Linked DNA regions of Drosophila melanogaster. The main gene of each other region encodes a partner of the protein of the gene in region 3 in a complex. Each region holds a gene or a part of one and is shown on either strand. Other genes may lie near its edges. The genes, in order: wda, Sgf29 and Spt20.

Evidence for each region.
Region 1: Spt20 (region 3) and wda share a complex: the UniProt entries of both Drosophila melanogaster proteins name them as parts of the spt-Ada-Gcn5 acetyltransferase (SAGA) complex.
Region 2: Spt20 (region 3) and Sgf29 share a complex: the UniProt entries of both Drosophila melanogaster proteins name them as parts of the spt-Ada-Gcn5 acetyltransferase (SAGA) complex.

The regions. Positions count from the first base shown.
Region 1 is NT_033777.3:23,256,401-23,260,154, reverse strand, and holds the start of wda (will decrease acetylation), read left to right. Parts: upstream 1-2,067; 5' UTR 2,068-2,155; coding exon 2,156-2,314; intron 2,315-2,374; coding exon 2,375-3,669; intron 3,670-3,746; coding exon 3,747-3,754. Other genes in the region: Pex11c (peroxin 11c), read right to left, coding at 1-53, 114-478, 1,174-1,245. UniProt on the Drosophila melanogaster protein: Component of the transcription regulatory complex SAGA, a multiprotein complex that activates transcription by remodeling chromatin and mediating histone acetylation and deubiquitination. The SAGA complex predominantly acetylates histone H3.
Region 2 is NT_033778.4:21,291,974-21,295,727, reverse strand, and holds Sgf29 (SAGA-associated factor 29kDa), read left to right. Parts: upstream 1-2,081; 5' UTR 2,082-2,231; intron 2,232-2,286; exon of another isoform or gene 2,287-2,313; 5' UTR 2,314-2,368; coding exon 2,369-2,407; intron 2,408-2,462; coding exon 2,463-2,691; intron 2,692-2,743; coding exon 2,744-2,901; intron 2,902-2,970; coding exon 2,971-3,414; 3' UTR 3,415-3,489; downstream 3,490-3,754. Other genes in the region: CG9752 (uncharacterized protein), read left to right, coding at 206-461, 518-1,293; RpL29 (ribosomal protein L29), read right to left, coding at 1,369-1,497, 1,567-1,668; CG30392 (uncharacterized protein), read left to right, coding at 3,644-3,754. UniProt on the Drosophila melanogaster protein: Component of both the SAGA and CHAT histone acetyltransferase complexes, which both predominantly acetylate histone H3.
Region 3 is NT_037436.4:13,500,993-13,504,746, reverse strand, and holds the start of Spt20 (Spt20), read right to left. Parts: upstream 2,041-3,754; 5' UTR 1,399-2,040; coding exon 1,363-1,398; intron 1,292-1,362; coding exon 350-1,291; intron 292-349; coding exon 1-291. Other genes in the region: Tgi (Tondu-domain-containing growth inhibitor), read right to left, coding at 2,692-3,464, 3,533-3,754. UniProt on the Drosophila melanogaster protein: Component of the transcription regulatory complex SAGA, a multiprotein complex that activates transcription by remodeling chromatin and mediating histone acetylation and deubiquitination. The SAGA complex predominantly acetylates histone H3.

The DNA.
Region 1 (3,754 bases), on a different chromosome or scaffold from region 3:
TATTATTCGTTCGGTTCAGCTTTTCCTGATTCAGTGAAAAATTCCGCATTGTCCTAGAAGATGCAATTTAATTTGAAAATTCAAAGCTGACGATTCGAATAATTCTTCTGTACCTCATGAGGTTCAGGTACACCGAAAGCACCCAGAATATGGAGTTGACATTGTCCCAGTTATCCGCATTCTTGACATCCACAATCTTGTGCTCGGCCAGCCAGCACACCTTCTCGATGGGATAGTAGAGCAAATCCACAATGTTGGCCGTCACTCCCAGCACTTGCATGACGCGATCGGGCTCATTCTCGCCCAAGCCATACTCCAAAGCATATTGGATCATGGGTATGTCGTCGATGAGACGCAGTGTGGCTCTCGCACCTGAGATCCTTGAGCTGGCGGTGGCGTATCGCTTGGCTAGTTCCGGATTCCGCTTGGCATGGTAGCCAGCCACCAGTTTGGCACTGTAGCACAATGCCTTCATCACCTGAAATAGGTATTTAATTTCATATATGTAATAATTGTTCTGCGCAATTCGTTAAGCCGTGTGTTTGCTCTATCACGAGAGTTGGCATCGCTGTTTACCTTTGCCTCTACCTGACCCCAATCGCCAGTCAGCCCTGCAATTTGTGGAATTGCTTGGTTGTCACAAACAGATAAAATACTATCAGCGATAAAAAGAATACAACGAATGCCACAATCATCTCGTGTGATGGCCGCCAGTGGAGTGCTCCTGGTCGTCCGTCCTGGCCGGAATGAGTTGTGGGTGGTTTCATTGTTTACCCATTAATGGTTCAGTTTGCTTGCTTTGCCATCAATGAATTAGTTATGCAATTCGGAGGAATACTAATGTCGCTATACGACTAATTTATGTAAATATCCTATAGTATTTCCAAAGTTCGTGACCACCCCATTCGCTGTTTACAGCCACATAATATATTATATTATATTTTCAAATGGTTATCAAGTATAACAAATTATTTGTTCTAATTAATAAATCTAAAATACTTTGAACAATATTTTATCGTATTCAAGGTTCGATTTTTCTATTAAAATAGAGATACACTATACAAGATTCCCTCTTTGTCTGCACTGTATACACCCCTTGTAGGGGTATATAAACTCGCGATGGTGGAAATGTGTGGATCGCGTGTCTCCTGATGGGCGGCAGTCCAAACAAACCTTTCGTTCATAACGAATTATCCGCTTTATCTGGTAGCGGCTTAAAGGTTTGCCGGCTATAGTATTGAGCATTATCTTGACTCGATCGCCGCCGAACTGCGACTGATAAGCGAAAAGCGAAATACAAAATCCATTGCGAATCAGAAAGAAGTAAGGCAAGGTCCAAACTGCTGTGGCTTCCTTGTTCGAGACCCAAAGACCAATGCCAACATCGATGCAGCAACAACATGGAAACCTGTTGGTTCAGTTTCGATTTCAAGCGAGCCCCTCAATGGACCAGTCCAAAAAGGAAATAGAAACCAGTCAAAATGCCACGATGCATTTTTTTAAATTTGCGCATACGAATTGGGAAAAACACTCGGTTCAAACGTAAACAAACAGGTGTGTTTTCAATTAATTGGAAATTTACTCGGCTGTGCGGCTCTTCTATGTTACCTTATCTCGCCCGCCATAGGAATCGATAATATCACAGAACTCGTTCACAAACTTTGTCGTGGTGCCCATAATGGCTCGTTTTTTGAAGACCAGGTACTGTTTTATATCACGTAAAAACTCGAACTGAGATACCGCAGCGAAAATACAAGAAATTGTCAAGAGCGCTCGGGAATCCAACAACACAAACAGCTGACTTTCTTCAGTGGTGACAATAGCCAAATAAACTAGCTAAGAATAGAGAATATAATAGAGCTAAAAATAAAAAGCTAGTTAATATAAATAAAATATAATATAAATATAAGTTAAAAATGTAAAAATAAATTTAAAATTAAAATATTTCAATATCAATATTGTTATAAAAGAGAAGCCAAATAGCCATCACTGACGAAAACAATTTTGAAAGAACAGCTGTTGCAGCCGCTTAAAATCGATGAATGCACATCGATAGGACAACCCATCTCCGCTGTCAGCACTATAATCGAACGCATATCGGACGCACTGCAGGACGGGATCAGGATACGGAACAAAGCGAGGCTAACACGCAACGATGAGCCTGCCCAGCGCCAGCAACCACGCACATGCTGCATCGCCCGTCTACAGCAACAGCAATAACAACAAGTCGAGCGCGAGCAGCAAAAAGACCTCCTCCAAAAACGATTTGCTACGCTGCGCCGTGGGACTCCTGCTGAAGCAGAAAAACTACGTGGTAAGTGAATAATCTTCAAATATACAATTCCTCAGAGTGTTCAAATATTCAAACCCGTAGAGCAACGAACGATTTCGGCGGTCGGATTTTTTGCTGCTGCAAAACAAACAGCAGTTTGCTGTCAACAAAATGCTGGATACGGATTTGCACGGTGGCAATAGCTTCACCTTTTCAAATGTCCAGGTTATCACCAACAACCAGCACACTGTGGACCAGCAATTTGGTCGGTTTTCGCAGTTCGTGGAGGCCCAGGCCGAACCGCTGCGTCTGGAAATGAAGCGCTTTTATGGACCCATGCTGTGCCACTTCTATCTGGATCTGCTCAAGGCTCGCGAACCGCGTGGCGCTGTGGAGTTGTTGCGCAAATATGCTCACTTGGTGGCCCCCGTGGATATGTACGATGCACCACCACCTACCAAGATCAACGGATGCTCCACTACGGCCAATGAGTCCACTTTTAACATACGCTTCGCAAAGGAAGCCCAGGACACTGGGGACACGGAACTGGACTACTTTATGCGCCTGGTGCAAACCCTGAGTGGCTACACACGGCTGGAGGCAGCAGAGTCCGATGACACAGTGGCCCATTTTCGATCTTCGAAATACGAACTACATACTACAGCCGTAGTTGTTAATAGGATATGCGCTTATCTCCAACGACGGGGCCACGTTTTAATTATGAACCTACTCTACACCTGGTTGCATGTCCATATAGTGGAGAATGAGCAGCGCGCCTTTAGTGAGGATCACCTGCTTGGCTTGACGGATGACCTGGAAGGTGAGGATGGAGAGGACGATGTTGTTTCCAAACCAGCAGTAACCCTTAATACCCGCGGAGACATAAGACCAAGCAAATCCCTCACTGAAAAGTCGAACCGAAAACGACCCGCTGAGGAGCCAAACATTATGCTAGAAACAGACATCAAACAGGAGGTAGAAACGGATGAATCTGCAGAGCTTAGTAAATTACAACTGAATATAGACGCCTGCTTGGACACCCTTAAATCGGCCACTGAACAGATACTCAAGTCTCAGGTGGAGTTGCCGCGATTTCTCAGAATCAGTGAACGTTCTCGGGGCCTCACCTCCGCCCATCTGGATCCCAGTGAGTGCCACATGTTAGCCGGGTTCGACAATTCTGCCGTACAGCTGTGGCAGTTAAACCAGAGCTACTGCCGCGGCAAGAGCTTCTACAGACGCTATCCGCAAAAGCGGTGTCCCTGGGAGCTGAACAATTGCGCGAATCAAGAGGAGGAGACGGATGAGGACAGCAGCGATGAGGATGTCAAGTGCTCTGAGGAGGAGAGACGGGAACGCAACAGGGCGCGACATTGCAAATATGCTGATAACTCCTAGTAAGTTCATCTTCCAGGTTTAGTATTGGTTTTATTTTTCAATTTTTAATCAACTAAAGTTTTTTTTTTCTAATTAGCAACGAAT
Region 2 (3,754 bases), on a different chromosome or scaffold from region 3:
ATTCCGCGAGCAACGAGCGAAATTCGCAGCTCCTTCATGTGTTATTTCAGCGCTGCCACCGGGCCGAAACTGTTCTGGCGTGTCTGCAGCCCTGGTGGCGTTACCAGACTACTTACCATCCCGAATCTCCTAAATAAACCAAAACGCCTGTTACAGCGCCAAAAGTCGCGACATCTTAATTAAAAACATTAATAAAATTGTTAAAATGTCCAGCAGCAAACTAAGTCCCCGGGAATCTGGAGCCTATATCGTAGAAAATGCCAAGCATGTTCGTATTCTGCCTGCAGGCATTGAGAAACTGACCCAGGAAATCGTAAAAGGCCTAATAGAAAAACGCATTGCTGTGGAAAACTTCTCGCAGCACGAATTACATCCCAATCCAAATCAGCCGGAGGATTATTCCAAAGCAGCCGACTGGGTCTTTGTGTTGGACACCCTGAACTTTTGCTTTTGGACCCCCAGTGAGTAATTGATATTTATAGCAGCATCCACTATCTTCAATGGTAATCTTCCGCAGATAACTACACCAAATATAAGGTCGATGGCTATACCGGCTACTTTGCGCTGTGTGCTGCGATTAAGAGAGCCATCAAGGAAGGCGTGGATGTGATCAATCCCAAGTTCTATTCCCAGATTGATCTGAAAACCGTGGAGAACATTTTCCGCTCTGACGATGGCGAGACAGTGATTCCGCTGCTCCAAAAGCGTCTGGAATCGCTCCATGAAGTGGGAAAAGTTCTGATCGACAAGTACGACGGCAGTTTTGAGAATGTTATCAAGAAGGCGGAGAAATCGGCAGTTCGCTTGCTGGATCTCGTTGTGGAGGAGTTTCCCTGTTTTCGCGATGAGGCTGAGTTTGCTGGAAAGCGAGTTTCCATCCTAAAACGAGCGCAAATCCTAGTGGGCGATGTGTGGTCCTGCTACAGAGGTCAGGGACTTGGGTTCTTTAATGACATCGATCAGATAACCATGTTCGCTGACTACCGAATTCCCCAGGTGCTAGTGCACTTCGGCAGTTTGGAGTACACCAGTGAGCTAATGGAGTTCCTAAAGACGGATACTATTCTGGAGAACGGCGATCCCCGAGAGGTGGAGATACGCGGCGCATCTATATACATCATCGAACAAGTTAGGGATGCTGTGGTGAAGATACTCAAGGAGCAGCACCCCGAAATCTCACTGGACAACGTCAACTCCATTGTGATCGACCAATATCTGTGGGACTACCGGCGTCGGCACAATGCCGACCTGGAGCACATTCCCTTCCACAAGGTGCTGAGCATCTACTACTAACGACGGCAACACAAATAAAGACGGTTCTTTGTTAAACTGAATTGTCCTTTAATTATCCACACGCGGGGCAATCATCTACAGAGTAACAGGCTTTGGCTTGCCCTTCTGGGAAGCGATGCGCTCGTTGTAGCGCTTCACGGACTCCTCGCGGGAAAGGTTTCCCTTGCGTGCGTAGCGCTGGTTGATCAGAAATTTCACATCCATCTAAAGACGGGAAGGTTGTTAAAATCAACTCTAGATGCTAACTAAATATGCATATTTTTGAATACTTACACCCAGAGTGGACTCGTGGCGTTTGCGCAGCGGGCGCTTGATGCCATTACGATGGGCCTTCTTGTTCTGGTTGTGATTTGTGTGGTTCTTGGACTTGGCCATCTTAAACTACTCCGGGTATCCAAAGATTCGTTGATGGGGCGGCACATGAAAACAGAAAAAATGTTCGCCATTATAATTTTAGCTTGGGGTTAACACTTGGAGTTCACTTTTAGCCAACGCCAGTTGAACAAAAAGCCAACAACTGTTGAAATTTTCGTTGCATTTCTCGTGTATTAGGCACCTACGTTTTTCGCACACTGGAATTCCTAGCTGCAATTGAAGATATTATAAATAAAAATAGCCAATTGGAAAAACGCGGAGCACACTTACGGAAACGCGATGGAAAAGAAGGGAAAGCCAGAGAGGCTGTCATAGAGCGCAGAAAAGGGACTAAATAACGCCAACCACGTGAAGATATCGTGCTGTTATCTGCGTGCTGTTAGGCGCACTTGCTTCCATCTCCAATGTAAGAAACGTAAACAACTTTGAAAAGTAAATATTCGAGTTTGAGAAAAAGATCCACTAAAGTCAAATAATGAGATTATACGGTACAAAAATCTTAACAATAATTACTCTGTTTTACTCTGTAAAATAAAATTTGCTAAGATTAAAAAAATACTGAGGTAAAATATAAAACTATCGCATAGTTAATACTAACGCGTTGTCGACTTTACGCTTATGCTTGTTTTTGTTTTCATTGCGTAGGTAAACAAAGTGTTCAAAAAACAAATTTATTATATTGTTATAATATCGAAACAACATGCCACTGACTGCGGAGAGTGCCGCCCAACAGATTCAGGTAAAGATGTTAACAATAAATGTCGATATATACTATATTTATATGGCATTTACAGGATCGCCTGAAGGACATTCAACAAAACATTCACAATGTGGACGAGGAGCGTCGTCGTGCGGAAAACTCCATTGCTAGTCTGGTGCGATCTCTGCACGCCACCAATCAGAAGGTTAAGCCCCTGCTCAAGGCCAGTTTAACGGAGGCTGCGCAGGAGGAGGCCACAATCCGAGCCGCACTGGCGAAAATCCACGAGATTCGAAGCATTCGCAATGAGAGGCGCATCCAAGGTGGGTTAGTGATGGGATGTATAAACAGGATTTAATCTCGCATATTCCACAGCTCGCAACGCTGGAAATAAGGAGGCCATTCGACGGGGCGCCCTTATGAAAATGGTGCAGCTCTCAGCGCAAACGTTGCCGTTATTCGTTGGCAAACTAGGAGAACGAGCACCAGCTCTATGTGGAGCCATTCCCGCCGAGGGGAACTATGTGGCCAAGGTAAGCATTCATTTTGATTGGACAAAGAAGCTGGGATGATGATCTGACTAATCGGACGCCACTGTATAGGTTGGCGACAATGTTGCCGCATTAGCTAAGGGAATTGATGAGGAGGAGAACTGGATCCTGGCGGAAGTGGTGCAGTTCCTTCACCGTCAAAACAAATACGACGTAATTGACATTGACGAGGAGCAAAAGGATCGCCATGTGCTGAGCAAGCGAAAGGTCATCCCACTGCCTCTAATGCGTGCAAATCCTGAGACCGATGGTCACGCCCTCTTCCCCAAGGACACAGTGGTAATGGCGCTATATCCACAGACCACCTGTTTCTACAAGGCCATTGTCCATCGCCTGCCGCAAACCGCCACCGAGGATTACGAGGTGCTATTCGAGGATTCATCGTACACGAATGGCTATGCCGAACCCTTGCCGGTCGCACAGCGCTATGTGATTGCATATCGTCCAACGAAAAAGGGGGCTGGCAGTGGCAGCGGGAATCTATCATCAGCATAAAAAATGTATTATCTTAACTTTAAGAATTAAATGTAATTGTAATAATAGCTCCAATTAAAATTGTATTCAATTCACAATAGACTGGTTTCTGTCTGGAATAAGAAGAAAGTAATTTCAGGGTGGTATTTTAATACCGGATTTTTTGGAGAACGGTTACATTGATTTCCTAAAAAAAATAAATAGACTTTAAAGTTTGTAGGAAAACAAAGGGGAAAGGCAGGCTTATAAGATGAGTAAAACGAGCTTAGCGACGCAGACCAATGGCACGGCGGAAAATGGAAACTGTTTTGATATCCTCAAAGTGTCTAATTTGTTCGAAACCAGCCTTCTGGACGAGGAT
Region 3 (3,754 bases):
GTGTTTGGCGTGACCCGCCTCCGTCTTGGATTGACTTTCGTCCTGGGCTAGCGGCTTGGGACGACTCCGATGACTGCCCGTTCCCGTACCCAATCCCGCAGCATCGCTCGAGGTCTCGTCCTTGTCCGTGGGGGACCATTCGTTTGTTTGCGGATTTAGCACCATGTGCTCGTCATAATGCAGGGCCAGCGAGTATCCCTTATTGCCGGGATACAAGTTGACCACAATCGTGTTGAGCTTCTCCCGATCCACCAACCGCTCCAGTGTAAAGGATCGAGTGCGCTGCTTTAGCTGAAAGTGATAAGAGTCCTTACATAAGGTTTCCGCTTTTGATTGGCTCAACACTTACCCCTGTCTCGGCAAAGTAGTTTAGGTCGTTGCTCAGCAGTTGCAGGTACAGGTCCCTTATTTTCTCGTGCAGATTAAAGAACTTGCTGTTGCCCGACTGGCAGACGGATGAAGGTGGCTTGCTGTTGCTATTGGAGGAGGCAGCGCCGGCGCCAGCGCGCGCTGATTGCGACGACGAGGTGGCTGTGGAGACTGATGCGGCGGGTATAGCTGAGCTGCGACTAGAGGAGCTGCTCTCCTTGCTACTGCTATTGGACTTCTGGCGCTTGCTGGGCGACGACGTGGGCGATGCCAGGACATGGTGATTGTGCGTCTGGTGGAGGTGATGATGGTGCAGGTGGTGGCCGCCTCCACTGGCTGTTGAGTTGGCGGAGGGTGGCCGCTTCTCGGACTTCTTGCTGGACACACTGGCCGCTCCCGTTGAGCTATTGCTTAGACTGGAGTTAACGCCCGGCGGTGTCGACAGCAGAAGATCGGGCACCACCGGCGACGGCGACGTGATTGAGTTGAAGTTCGACATCGTTGTGGTGGAGGATGAGCACGAGGAGGGCGACGGAGCAATTGCAGTGGGCAGGCCGCTGGGCGTGGCCGAGGTCGGCTCCGTGAGCAGGCTGCCCAGTGAGCCGCCAGTGCCCTCGGTGGGGGACTCGTCGTCATCGAAGATACAAATGGGCGGCTGGGCAGGAATCTGTGGTATAGCCTGCAATAGGCTGGTCTCCAGGTACGATTTGCTGCTCGAGGAGGCGAACTGCTGCTGCTGGAGCGTGGGATGCAGCTGATGGTAGGACTGCTGCGGCTGCAGCTGCGGCGAGGATCCAGACGTGCCGTACTGGACGAACTGCGTCTGGTGGACACCCGAACCGTGGGCGTGGACCGCTAGGCCCTGGACATGGTCCGCGTTGCTGGAACCCTTTAACTTTTTGAGCGTGTCATTTATAATAAACTGTCGAAAAATAAAGTGTAAAATGGGAATTAATCGTATTCAGGCTGCATGAAAAATGCCACAGTTCTTACGTCGGCTTCTTGGCATGAGGAGTCCAGGCTTTGCATGGTGGTGCCAGCGGATTGCTAGGGGAGATCCAACGGAGGATGGCGCACCCAATTACCGACGACATCCAAGCACCAGTCTACGAACAATCCTGGCCAGGATCGGCGGCATTCGCATTGCGCTAGCAGGTGTCCGTGTTGCCAGTGAACGTCGAATTACGAATTTCTAGGACCGCAGACGCAGGGCTCCGTTGTTGTCTCCTACTTTCGCTGGCTGCTGCTGCTGCTGCTGCTGTCCATCGGTTAGTTTCGCCACACTCAGCACTCGGCTGTGCCGCATCAGGATCGTTTTGGGGTGCTCCTCGGTCCGTCTGTGTGACGAATCGCTGCACTGGAGGACACTGAGATCGGATCCCGATGGCGATTACTGCGGTTTCTTCACTCTTTTTCCACTTCCACTGCTGCTGCTGCTTTGCGTGACATTTTCTCTCTGCGCCCCTCTGCCGACGAACTCTCTTTCTGGCGCTGCTGCTCCGTGAATTTGCAAGGTCGCGCGCTCTGCTGCGGTTATGGGGCGAACAGTGGGCTGGTTCTTTAATGATACGCCGAGGATTGCTCGCTTTTAATTGTTTTAAAACTTTGTTTTATGCTTTTTTTTGCAATGTAAATGTACTGTACGATTCGTGCCGTGCGAATGCCAACAATCGTTATCGTTCGCTGTGAATGGCATTGTCGCCGTTCCGTCTGCCGTTAGTGGTGTGTGCACATTGGCTGCCCATGCACTGTGTGCTGTTAGGCGCGCGCTGTTAACGCTCTGTTAGCCGCCCAACAGTCATTTGAAAATTCAAAATATGCAATTCAAAATCTGAAATTTTGCAGTTTATTTCCCACTTTCGGTGAATGAATAGACAGACTTTGTAGGATTGTTTACTTATGTTTAATAGGTATATTATTAAGGATTAGTCTCTACCAACTAAGCGTTAAGAATACAAAATTTTGTCACTTGTACGTATACACTTTGTCATACACATTTATCCATATATATGTAAATATTCATATATATATATATATAATTATATCCGCGCGCTAACCGTTATCAATATTCAATAAAATCATTATATCAGAAACTTGTAATACACTCGCAGTTGAAGAATTTCCGTTCACATCAGCATGAGATCTTTAAACGTTAATTGTGTAGTTTGAAATATTTATAATAAAAACAGCTCTTGAGTTGAATCGTTGAGGATCAGGGGTTGCTTTTGGGTTGGGTTGTGTTGAGTTCTGTTGGGAATTGGGATCGGGATCGGGATCGGGTTGTGTGCGGGTTGGTGGGTGATTTGCTCGCTTGCTCCTCCTCTACTCCTTGTGCCCGCCCTGCAGCTTCTTCCAAGTTTCGCCCAGCGCCTTGGCAAAGTGGTCGTCCACCGAGGCTTCAGTCTTGGTGAATATCGAGATATTCGTGGACGAGGTGGGCGAAGCGGGCGGCGTCTGCGTCGAGGAGGCAGCCACGGCCGCCAGTCCCGGTTCAGCCTTCACCCGAATGATGGCCGGCATGCTGGGCGTGGGCGTGGGAATCTGCGACGGCGTCGGATTCGGAGTTGGTGTCGGTGTCAAAGTCGGCGCCACAACGGTGGTTCCGGCTATTCCGTAAGCCGGCGGTGGAGGCGGTGGTGTGTTGTATCTCGGCGGCGTGTGGTGTGGCGTGTCCAGGATCCGCCTGCCCGCCACCGCTGCCTCCATCACCTGGCTGACGGCCGTGGGTAGCGCTGGTGCCGATCCCGTGGCCGAAGGTGGCGGCGATGGCGGCGTTTGGGTGCGATGCAGTGCCAGCGACAGGGGAAGCGGTTCCTCCTGCGGCGGCGGCAGTTCCGGCTGCAGCGATTCGGGCTCCAGAATGACCCATCCCGACTTGGCCAGCGGCGAGCGTTGCTGCTGGTAGTGCTGCGATGCCGCTGTGCTGGTTGATGAAGGCAGTCCGTAGGCCAGTGGCGAAACCTGCTGCTTAGGTGTACCACTTGGCGAGGGCGTGGGTGTTGGCGTAGGCGTCGGTGACTTCTTGGCGAACAGGGCAGCATAGTTCTCGCCCAGTGAGCGTCGGAAGTGCTCGTCAATGTCGCACATCGCCATATCTGCAAGGCAAATCAAAGCATCAGGTTAGTATGATCGTTGACACTAATGTGCATATATGACTTCTCACCTGTAGAGTGGGCCTGCTCCGGTGGTTCTCGCTTGGGTGGAGCCTGGGTAATGACGCTGGGTCGACTGTTGGCCGCGTAGTTGGTCCCAGGCAAGGGTTCGCGATAGGGTGGCGGCGGTGAGGCTCTCTGCTTCAGAGCTCCCGTCGTCACCGACATGTCAATGGGACTGTCCATGTCGCGATCCTCTCGATCCCGCTCCCGTTCCCGCTCCCTCTCGCTGT